2 linked regions of the Caenorhabditis elegans genome follow. The protein of the gene in region 1 interacts with the protein of each later gene in a pairwise test. Each region holds a gene or a part of one and is shown on either strand. Other genes may lie near its edges.

Region 1 (3,927 bases):
CCGAAAAAAGCCTGAGCCTAAACCAAAGCCTAAGCCTACGTCTAAGCGTAGGCCTGAGCCTAAGCCTGAGACTAAGCCTAAGCCTAGACCTAAGCCTATGCCTAAGTCAATTTCAAATGAATGCAAAATTCAAAAATTTCAAAAAATTAGTTTTTTCAAAAAATTAGTTTTCAAAAGTTTTTTGGCTGGAATTTCAAACTTTCCTGAATTTTTCAAAATGTCACAGATTTTCCTAAAACTTTTTTTTTTTCTAAAAAATTGGCTAAAAATTTTCAGGCACAAAATGCAATTTTCATAAGATTTTTAAAATTTTTTCGAGGTTTCGAAAAGGTTTTTGGCGCGAATTTAAATTTTTCGTAAAAACCGACGTATCGAGAACCAGTTTATTCGTGATAATAATTAATAATAGTTAACAAGATTGGCAAAGAAATGATAAGAAATAAATTAGCTGAAAATCAATCAATAAATCAATAAAACAATCTCTATTCTTACAATTCCTTCTTCTTTCCCTCTGGCTTCTTTGGCTTAAGCTTATCACCTCTCTTAGCCTCTGGAATGTCAACTCCAAAATGTTTAAGCACATCCTTCATAGAGTTAAGGATATCAGCTGGTGATGAGTAGTAATACGCGTAATTTTTGTATTCGGCCTTCTTATTTTTGAATTCTTGAAGAAGATCTCCATTTTTGTCGAGGAAAAGCAGACGTGGAATGTACTTTCCGTCTGGACGGTACTCCTCCTCGAATGGCTCGTCGTCGTCTTCGGTGTTAACCATTACAAAGTGCTCTGAGAGCTTTTTGAAGGCTTTCTTGGCGTTGGATTGTTGGAAGGTCTTCTTGAGAGCTGGAAAATTTGAAAATTCGAAATTGAAACATTTAAAAATTAGGCTTAGACGTAAGCTACAGCTTGGGCTTAGGCTTAGTCGTAGCCTTACACTTAGACTTAGGCTCAAACTTAGGCTTAGGACCCCAATAGATTTTATCCTTTTTTCAGATTAGTGGAATTTGTTTGGAATTTTTATTGAATTTTTGAAAGCTTTAAAATAATTTTTTATATAATTTTTGGAATTTTTAAAAAAATTTTGAGGTTTTTTCTCGCATTGGATTTTCTGGACTTGAAATATTTAAACTTCAAATTTTTTAAAACCAATTTTCAATTTTTTCACAAATTTTTAAACGAATACAATTATGTTTAAAGTTTCAAATGTTGAGTCATAAAAATTATAAATATTATTTTACATCAAATTTAAACTGTGGTTCGCCCACACACGGGTCCCATCACGTGAAAATTTTTGAATTTCCCAAAATTTGTACAAATGTGCATTTTTCTTAATTCAAAATTTTGCACGTTTTTTTTTGCAATTTTCGAAAAATATCAATTGAATTTCCCGATTTTTCCCTTGAAAACTATATGTACAAGCTTTGTGGTTTACAAGGTGTTCTGACACCATTCTTTGAATTAATAAAAAAAAGTGTGTCAAGGATGAATAAATCCCTCTCCTTTCTTGTCTTTGGTCGGTTACCCGGAGAGAAAATCGAAGCTGCAGTGGGGAAGGGACATGTGAATGTGCGCTCTATTGGACTAACTTGTTGAATAAAATGATTAAATTTCAAATTATTAGTGAAGCATGTAATCAATCACGCGGTGTCAGGGTGTCTCACTTCGGCTTGATCTACCTAGATCTACAAAAAATGCGGGAGAAGAGTCGCAGAGTTCTCAAATGATTTCGCATGATTAAGAACCTGCTGACGTCGCATTTTTAGAGCAAAAAATTCCCGCATTTTTTGTAGATCAAACCGTGATGGGACAGTGTGATACCACACGTATTATAAGAAATTGCCTAAATTTTCTCAACTGCCGCTCTTACCTTTGCAAGCATGGCACCAAGACTTGTGGATCAACAAGAAGATTGGCTTATCAGTATCCAAAGCAGTCTCAATTGCATCTTCCCACTTGACCCACGCAATATCGTCACCAAATCCACGTGCCAATGGGTTTTGAATAGAATCCTTGATCTTGTCGAAACTCGCGTACGCCGACGCACTCACAAGTGCCAAGAGGAGAAGGGATCTCATCTGGAACAACGGGGAATTGGATGGAGTTTTATACTAAACAGAAAATATAAGTTTAGCATGCAAAAAAAAGTGATCAGATACTTAAAAAAAACGTTATTAATGTGGTTTATATGTATAATTTAAATATTATTACTGTTGTGAAAAATATCATTTTTACACAACTCAAAATATTCACTACAATTTGTTTAATTGAATGTAAAAAATTTCTGATAATTTTCAAAAAAAAAAATTAAAATAATCCCCCAGCCCCACCTATGCCTAAGCCTAAGCCTAAGACTAATCCTAAGACTAAGCCTAAGACTAAGCCAAAGCCTAAGCCTAAGGCTAAGCCTGAACCCGGGCCTAAAACTAAGGCTAAGGCTAAGCCTAAGCCTAAGACTAAGACTAAGACTAAGCTTGAAAATGAACTGTTGTGACCTTTTTTTTCCAGCGTTTAAAAGCCATTGCTGTTATAAAAACACAACGATTATAAAGTTCTGTTATAAAACATACTACTTGTTGTTTTATAACAGAACTATATAATTGTTGTGTTATTCATTTAATGCCCGTTTTACGAAAAAATGTCGAAAAAGAAACTTTTTCTATGCAATCCCGTTGTTAATAATCTAAAACTAGAATTTTTTAATATCACTATCCTTTGTATTAGAAAAGCTGTATAAAAAACCACCTCTAAAAGTGAAAGGTATGACGAATGATGGAGAAAAGAAGAAACAGATCAAGATATTGAGGTCATTATCGAACTGCAAAAAACTAGCCAACGGTCGAGGTCGTACCGATGATAAGGATCTCGGTGTATCTATGGAGGGGTGATCAGAAACCATAAAGAAGGTGCTTTGATGAGTTTTTGCAGATAAAAAGGGTTATATCAATGATGTCTGGAAAAAAATATGAAGCAGAACGAAAAATTCAAAAAGCAACTACAATGTTTTGTAGCAAAAACATGATTCGGTGATTCAATTTTTTTTTGTTGGAAGTCTCATAAAACATTACTATTTTGCACATAATTTTTGGTAATGCATTCTAGAAATGGTGGTGGTTACTATATTTCGATCGATGTATATTTTAATAACTTTATGAATTATAATTAGGGTTTTTACAATTTTTTAAACAGTTTTCTTGGTTAGGATGATTCCCATATAAAAGTTAGTAATATATAATTTTAATAACGTTATTGAAAATAATTACTTTCACGAAAAATTAACCCGTTTGCTTGTAAACTGTATAGTTACAATGTTCATAACTAACTAACTAATTGACAAAGTAAAAAACATGTATTGCTTCATTTTATTTGCGTCAAACATTGTCTGATTTTATTAGTATGAACAATTCAATACTGTTAAATACTGACGATTTTTAATAAAATGCATTTAAGTATACTACATAATTAAAGAGCAACACTAAAGAAGTTATTCACGTATGTATGTCGTGAAATATATTAAAGGGGGAGTAGAGTTTGTAAGTATTTTGCTTAAATAGACTAAAACTGGTCCAAAACCACCGAATTTCATAATGAGACTTCACAAAAAATTTCCAAAAATTTTTTATAGCCGGTCAAAATTTCGAAAAAAAAAGAGTCAAATTTTGATAAAATCTGAAATTTTGCACACTTTTCTTAGTCACAGCCACTGAACTTTGGTTTTTCTGAAATTATCACCTTTTAATCCTTGTTTTGGTAATTTATCTCATTCGTTGATTGAGACAACTTTTAGGCCGATAGGCATCCAATTTTGATCATTTTTGGATGCCTATTGGTCTAAAAGTTGTCTCAATCAACAAAATTCCGCAGGATAAATTATCAAAATAAGGATTAAATGGTGATAATTTCAGAAAGACTAAAATCCAGCGGCTGTGACT
Region 2 (3,916 bases), on another chromosome or scaffold:
CATTGTTTTCGTAGTTGCCGTAGTGTCAAACAAAACAGAGAGACGCAGGGTTTTGATGAGACGCAGATTTTGTGTCCGAGAGATCGAAAATTGCGAATGACACAAATAATTGTTCCAGCACAGTGAAAAAGAGTGTATTTTCCATTGGAAATTGTGAAGTTGTTCAATGAGAATAGATATGTTTTTTTTTGAAAAATTGTTTTTCATTCTACAGGAAAACTGAAGAAAAATAGATAAGAATTTCAAAAACAGAGTGAAATATTTCGAGCTAGATTTTTGTCTAACCGAAAAGTTCTCATATTTCAAGATTTTTTTCAGGTTCAAAACTCCAATTTCTCGCTGGAGAGTCTCAATTTTTATCCACCCCCAGCCCCGCCTAAGCCTAAGGATAAGCCTATAATATATATACCGCCTAAGCGTAATAATTAAAATTTATATATTTTTTTCAGATTCAGTGGCATCCAATAAAGCATGTTTTTAAAAATGGATCTGTCAATAGTAATTTATACCAGAAAATGTTAAACAAAGTAGGCTACCTTGTACGGAAGGTTGTTAGAGAAAATTGCAGTATTTGACCAAAAGCTATTTTTTCCAAAACTGAAAAAATACGGGAAAATCATAGGAATTATTTTTATTTTTTAATTTCACTTCAGGTTTTACTCTAGGCTCATGTTTGTGGATTATATCCGTCAAAGTTAACTCAAACGGAAATTTTTTTAGTTGCCTGTTAAAAACTTTAATAAAACAATTTACTTTTAAAAAAATGTATACAAAAATTATTGTTTCAAAAGATCCATAAAATTGTGTGCCTGCATTCCCATTACCAAAGTCGAACCTCCATCTGCCACAATCGACTGTCCAATAATGTATGAAGAGAGTTTTCGATCAGCCAAGAACGCAATTATATTGGCAATGTCGATGGGTTGCCCCATTTTTCCGCAAGGAATACATTCTTTGCGAGATTCCATGAAATGTCCATACTGAAAAATGGAAAATTGAATAATTTTAAGAGCTTGTAAAACCTACCCTGGGCTTCACCTACCTACCTTCCTGCTTAAAAAGATTTAAAAAGATTTAAAAAGATTGTTCAAAATATTTTTGAACAAGTGGTAAAAAATCAGATTTTCCTACAACTAAATTTTGGTAAAATGACGTGTCAAGGATTTGTATTTTAAGTAGGCAGATCTGCAAAAGTGCCTGCCTACTATGAGGCTTCTCACCTTCTCATGCATATCAGCAGGCATTCCCATTGCTTCTCCGAAACCTGTCACTACAGCTCCAGGGCTCACCGAGTTGACTCTAACCCCGTACTGAATAAGATCGATGGCAGCACTTCTGGTATATTGATCCAATGCGGCTTTTGACATTGCATAATACATGAAAGTTGGTTGCTAAAATACAGAAGTGGGTAAAAAAGTGAAGAGAAAAGGAACTAACAGCCTGTGGTCCTGCTCCGATGCTCGAAACATTTACAACTTCTCCCTTAGCCTTAACCAAATGCTCCTTGGCTTTTTGAGTCAAAGTAACCACACTTCTCATGTTAATTTGCATAATTCTATCGTAAACTGAGACATCTTGATCAACTCCAACACGTCCTTGATCGTCATTAAAAGCCGCTCCGGCATTGTTGACTAGAATATCAAGGCGCCCGAATTTTTGAATTGTAGAGTTAACTAGTTCATCTTGACCTTTTTCAGTCGCCAAATCAGTTGCAATCGACAAAACATGATCTTCCGGAACTCCTGACTTCAAAATTTCCTGTCTAGTTTCTTCAAGCCTATCAGCATTTCTTCCAGTAATCGTAACTTTTGCTCCTTCCTGAGCCAGAAGTACAGCAGTGGCTCTACCTATTCCGTTTGAGGAGCCTTCAATGATTCATTATAAAAATGAAGAAAAATAAATTTGAAAAAAATACCTGTCACAAGAGCAACTTTGCCAGAGAATCGAGTCATAGCAGTAGTGTAGAAATTAAATATTGATACTGATAATCAATGCTTTTATTGCGTGATTTTTTTGTTGAAATGTGGTCTGTGATGTGCTTTAAGCAAACTGTGGCAGCTTATATTGATAAGAAAATAAAAATATTATGTCAATAAATAATGACTAGACTTTTGATACCACAAAAATGGAAATTCCTTTTTTGGTGGTTCGAACCAATTTTTTGACCGATGTTATTCTGCACGATTACATTACATGCCCGATGTAGCCCTCTACCGCTCGGCTTACCGATTTTAAAGAAATTTAAATTTCCGGCAATTTTCCGATTCGCCGATTTGCCAGAAATTTTAATTTCCGGCAATTTTTCGATTTGCCGGTTTGCCGGAAATTTTGACTATTGGTAAAATGCCGATTTACCGTTTTTAGAGGGATTTTTTATAAGACGGAAACACTTAAAACTGTGCCTTTTTAAATTTTTTTCCCCGTTTTCTTTAGAAATTTTCATAGAATTTGCTTAATTTTTAAATTGTATGTAGGAACATTCACAGGATATTGCCGATTGAAATTGAAATTCTAAAATTTCAAAAAAAAATTTGCAAAACCACAATTTGCCGACAATTTTTAGCAATTGCCGTTTCCCGGCGAATTCAGCAAATCGAATATTTTCCGGTTTGCCGATTTTCCGAATATTTTAAATTCCGGCAATTTATCGATTTGCTGATTTGTCAGAAATTTAAATTCCGGCAGTTTGACGATTTGCCTGATTGCCGGAAGTTTATATTCCGGCAATTTGCCGGTTTGCCATTTTTCCGGATATTTTCAATTCCGGCAATTTGAATATTTGCCGGAAATTTCAATTCCGGCAGCTTGACGACTTGCCTGATTGCCGGAAGTTTTAATTCCCGCAGTGTGCCGTTTCACCGAAAATTTCAATTCTGACAATTTGAATTTTTGCCGGAATATCAATTCTCCCAATTTACCAATTTACCGATTTGCCAATTTGCCGGAAAACATAGCTTGCCGTCCATCCCTGTTTTGTACAACAAAATCACTAGTTCCAATATTTATTCACCACTAAATCCAACAAAATTTAAGATTGCTTCATAAGATCCGCCCAGTTGTGAGCATTCATTCCCAAGACCAGTGTAGATCCTCCATCAGCTACTATCGACTGCCCAATAATATAGGAAGAAAGCTTACGATCAGCCAAGAACGCAATAATATTGGCAATATCGATTGGTTTAGCTACAGCTCCAGAAGGGATGCACTCCTTGCGGGACTCCATAAACTTCATCATCTGAAAACTCGAAAAATTCTAGGAATTTGTGTCTTATGTTCACCTCCTCAAACGCCCCACTCGGCATACCCATAGCTTCTCCAAACCCGGTAGTGACACCTCCCGGGCTCACCGAGTTCACGCGTACCCCGTACTGAATAAGATCGATGGCTGCACACCTGGTGAATTGATCGAGAGCCGACTTTGACATTGCGTAGTACATAACTCCGGGTTGCTGGAAACATGCAAATTTTAATACTCATATTTGGGGACGGGAATCCAGGCTACCAGCAGGGCTGAGCAACAGGCCGAAAAATTACAGAAATCGCCGATCGCCGATCGCCGATTGCCGCTCACTCCTACTAGGCTACCAGGCAATAATTCGATTTGCAAAACTGATTTTCGATTGATCAAACTACTCTAAAATTAAGTCAGCGGCGAGTAATAAAATTCCCCGAAATCTAATTTTTCCTAGATCATTAAGTCTTACCAGAGCAAAAACTACCGGAGGTCATAATATGCTTTAACCTAGCTTACCGCATGAGCTGTTCCAGCTATACTCGAGACATTGACAATTTCTCCCTTAGCCTTAACCAAATGCTCCTTGGCTTTTTGAGTCAAAGTAACCACACTTCTCATGTTAATCTGCATAATTTTATCGTAAACTGAGACATCTTGATCAACTCCAACACGTCCTTGATC

What was found.
Region 2: the proteins of txdc-12.1 (region 1) and dhs-14 interact in a two-hybrid assay, tested with the Caenorhabditis elegans proteins (one large-scale study listed by BioGRID).

Annotation. Positions count from the first base shown.
Region 1 is NC_003280.10:12,238,534-12,242,460, reverse strand, and holds txdc-12.1 (Thioredoxin domain-containing protein), read right to left. Parts: upstream 2,074-3,927; coding exon 1,866-2,073; intron 842-1,865; coding exon 489-841; 3' UTR 376-488; downstream 1-375.
Region 2 is NC_003283.11:2,763,243-2,767,158, forward strand, and holds dhs-14 (DeHydrogenases, Short chain), read right to left. Parts: upstream 1,959-3,916; 5' UTR 1,953-1,958; coding exon 1,916-1,952; intron 1,866-1,915; coding exon 1,438-1,865; intron 1,392-1,437; coding exon 1,221-1,391; intron 981-1,220; coding exon 777-980; 3' UTR 739-776; downstream 1-738. Other genes in the region: cror-2 (DeHydrogenases, Short chain), read right to left, coding at 3,029-3,235, 3,279-3,449, 3,752-3,916.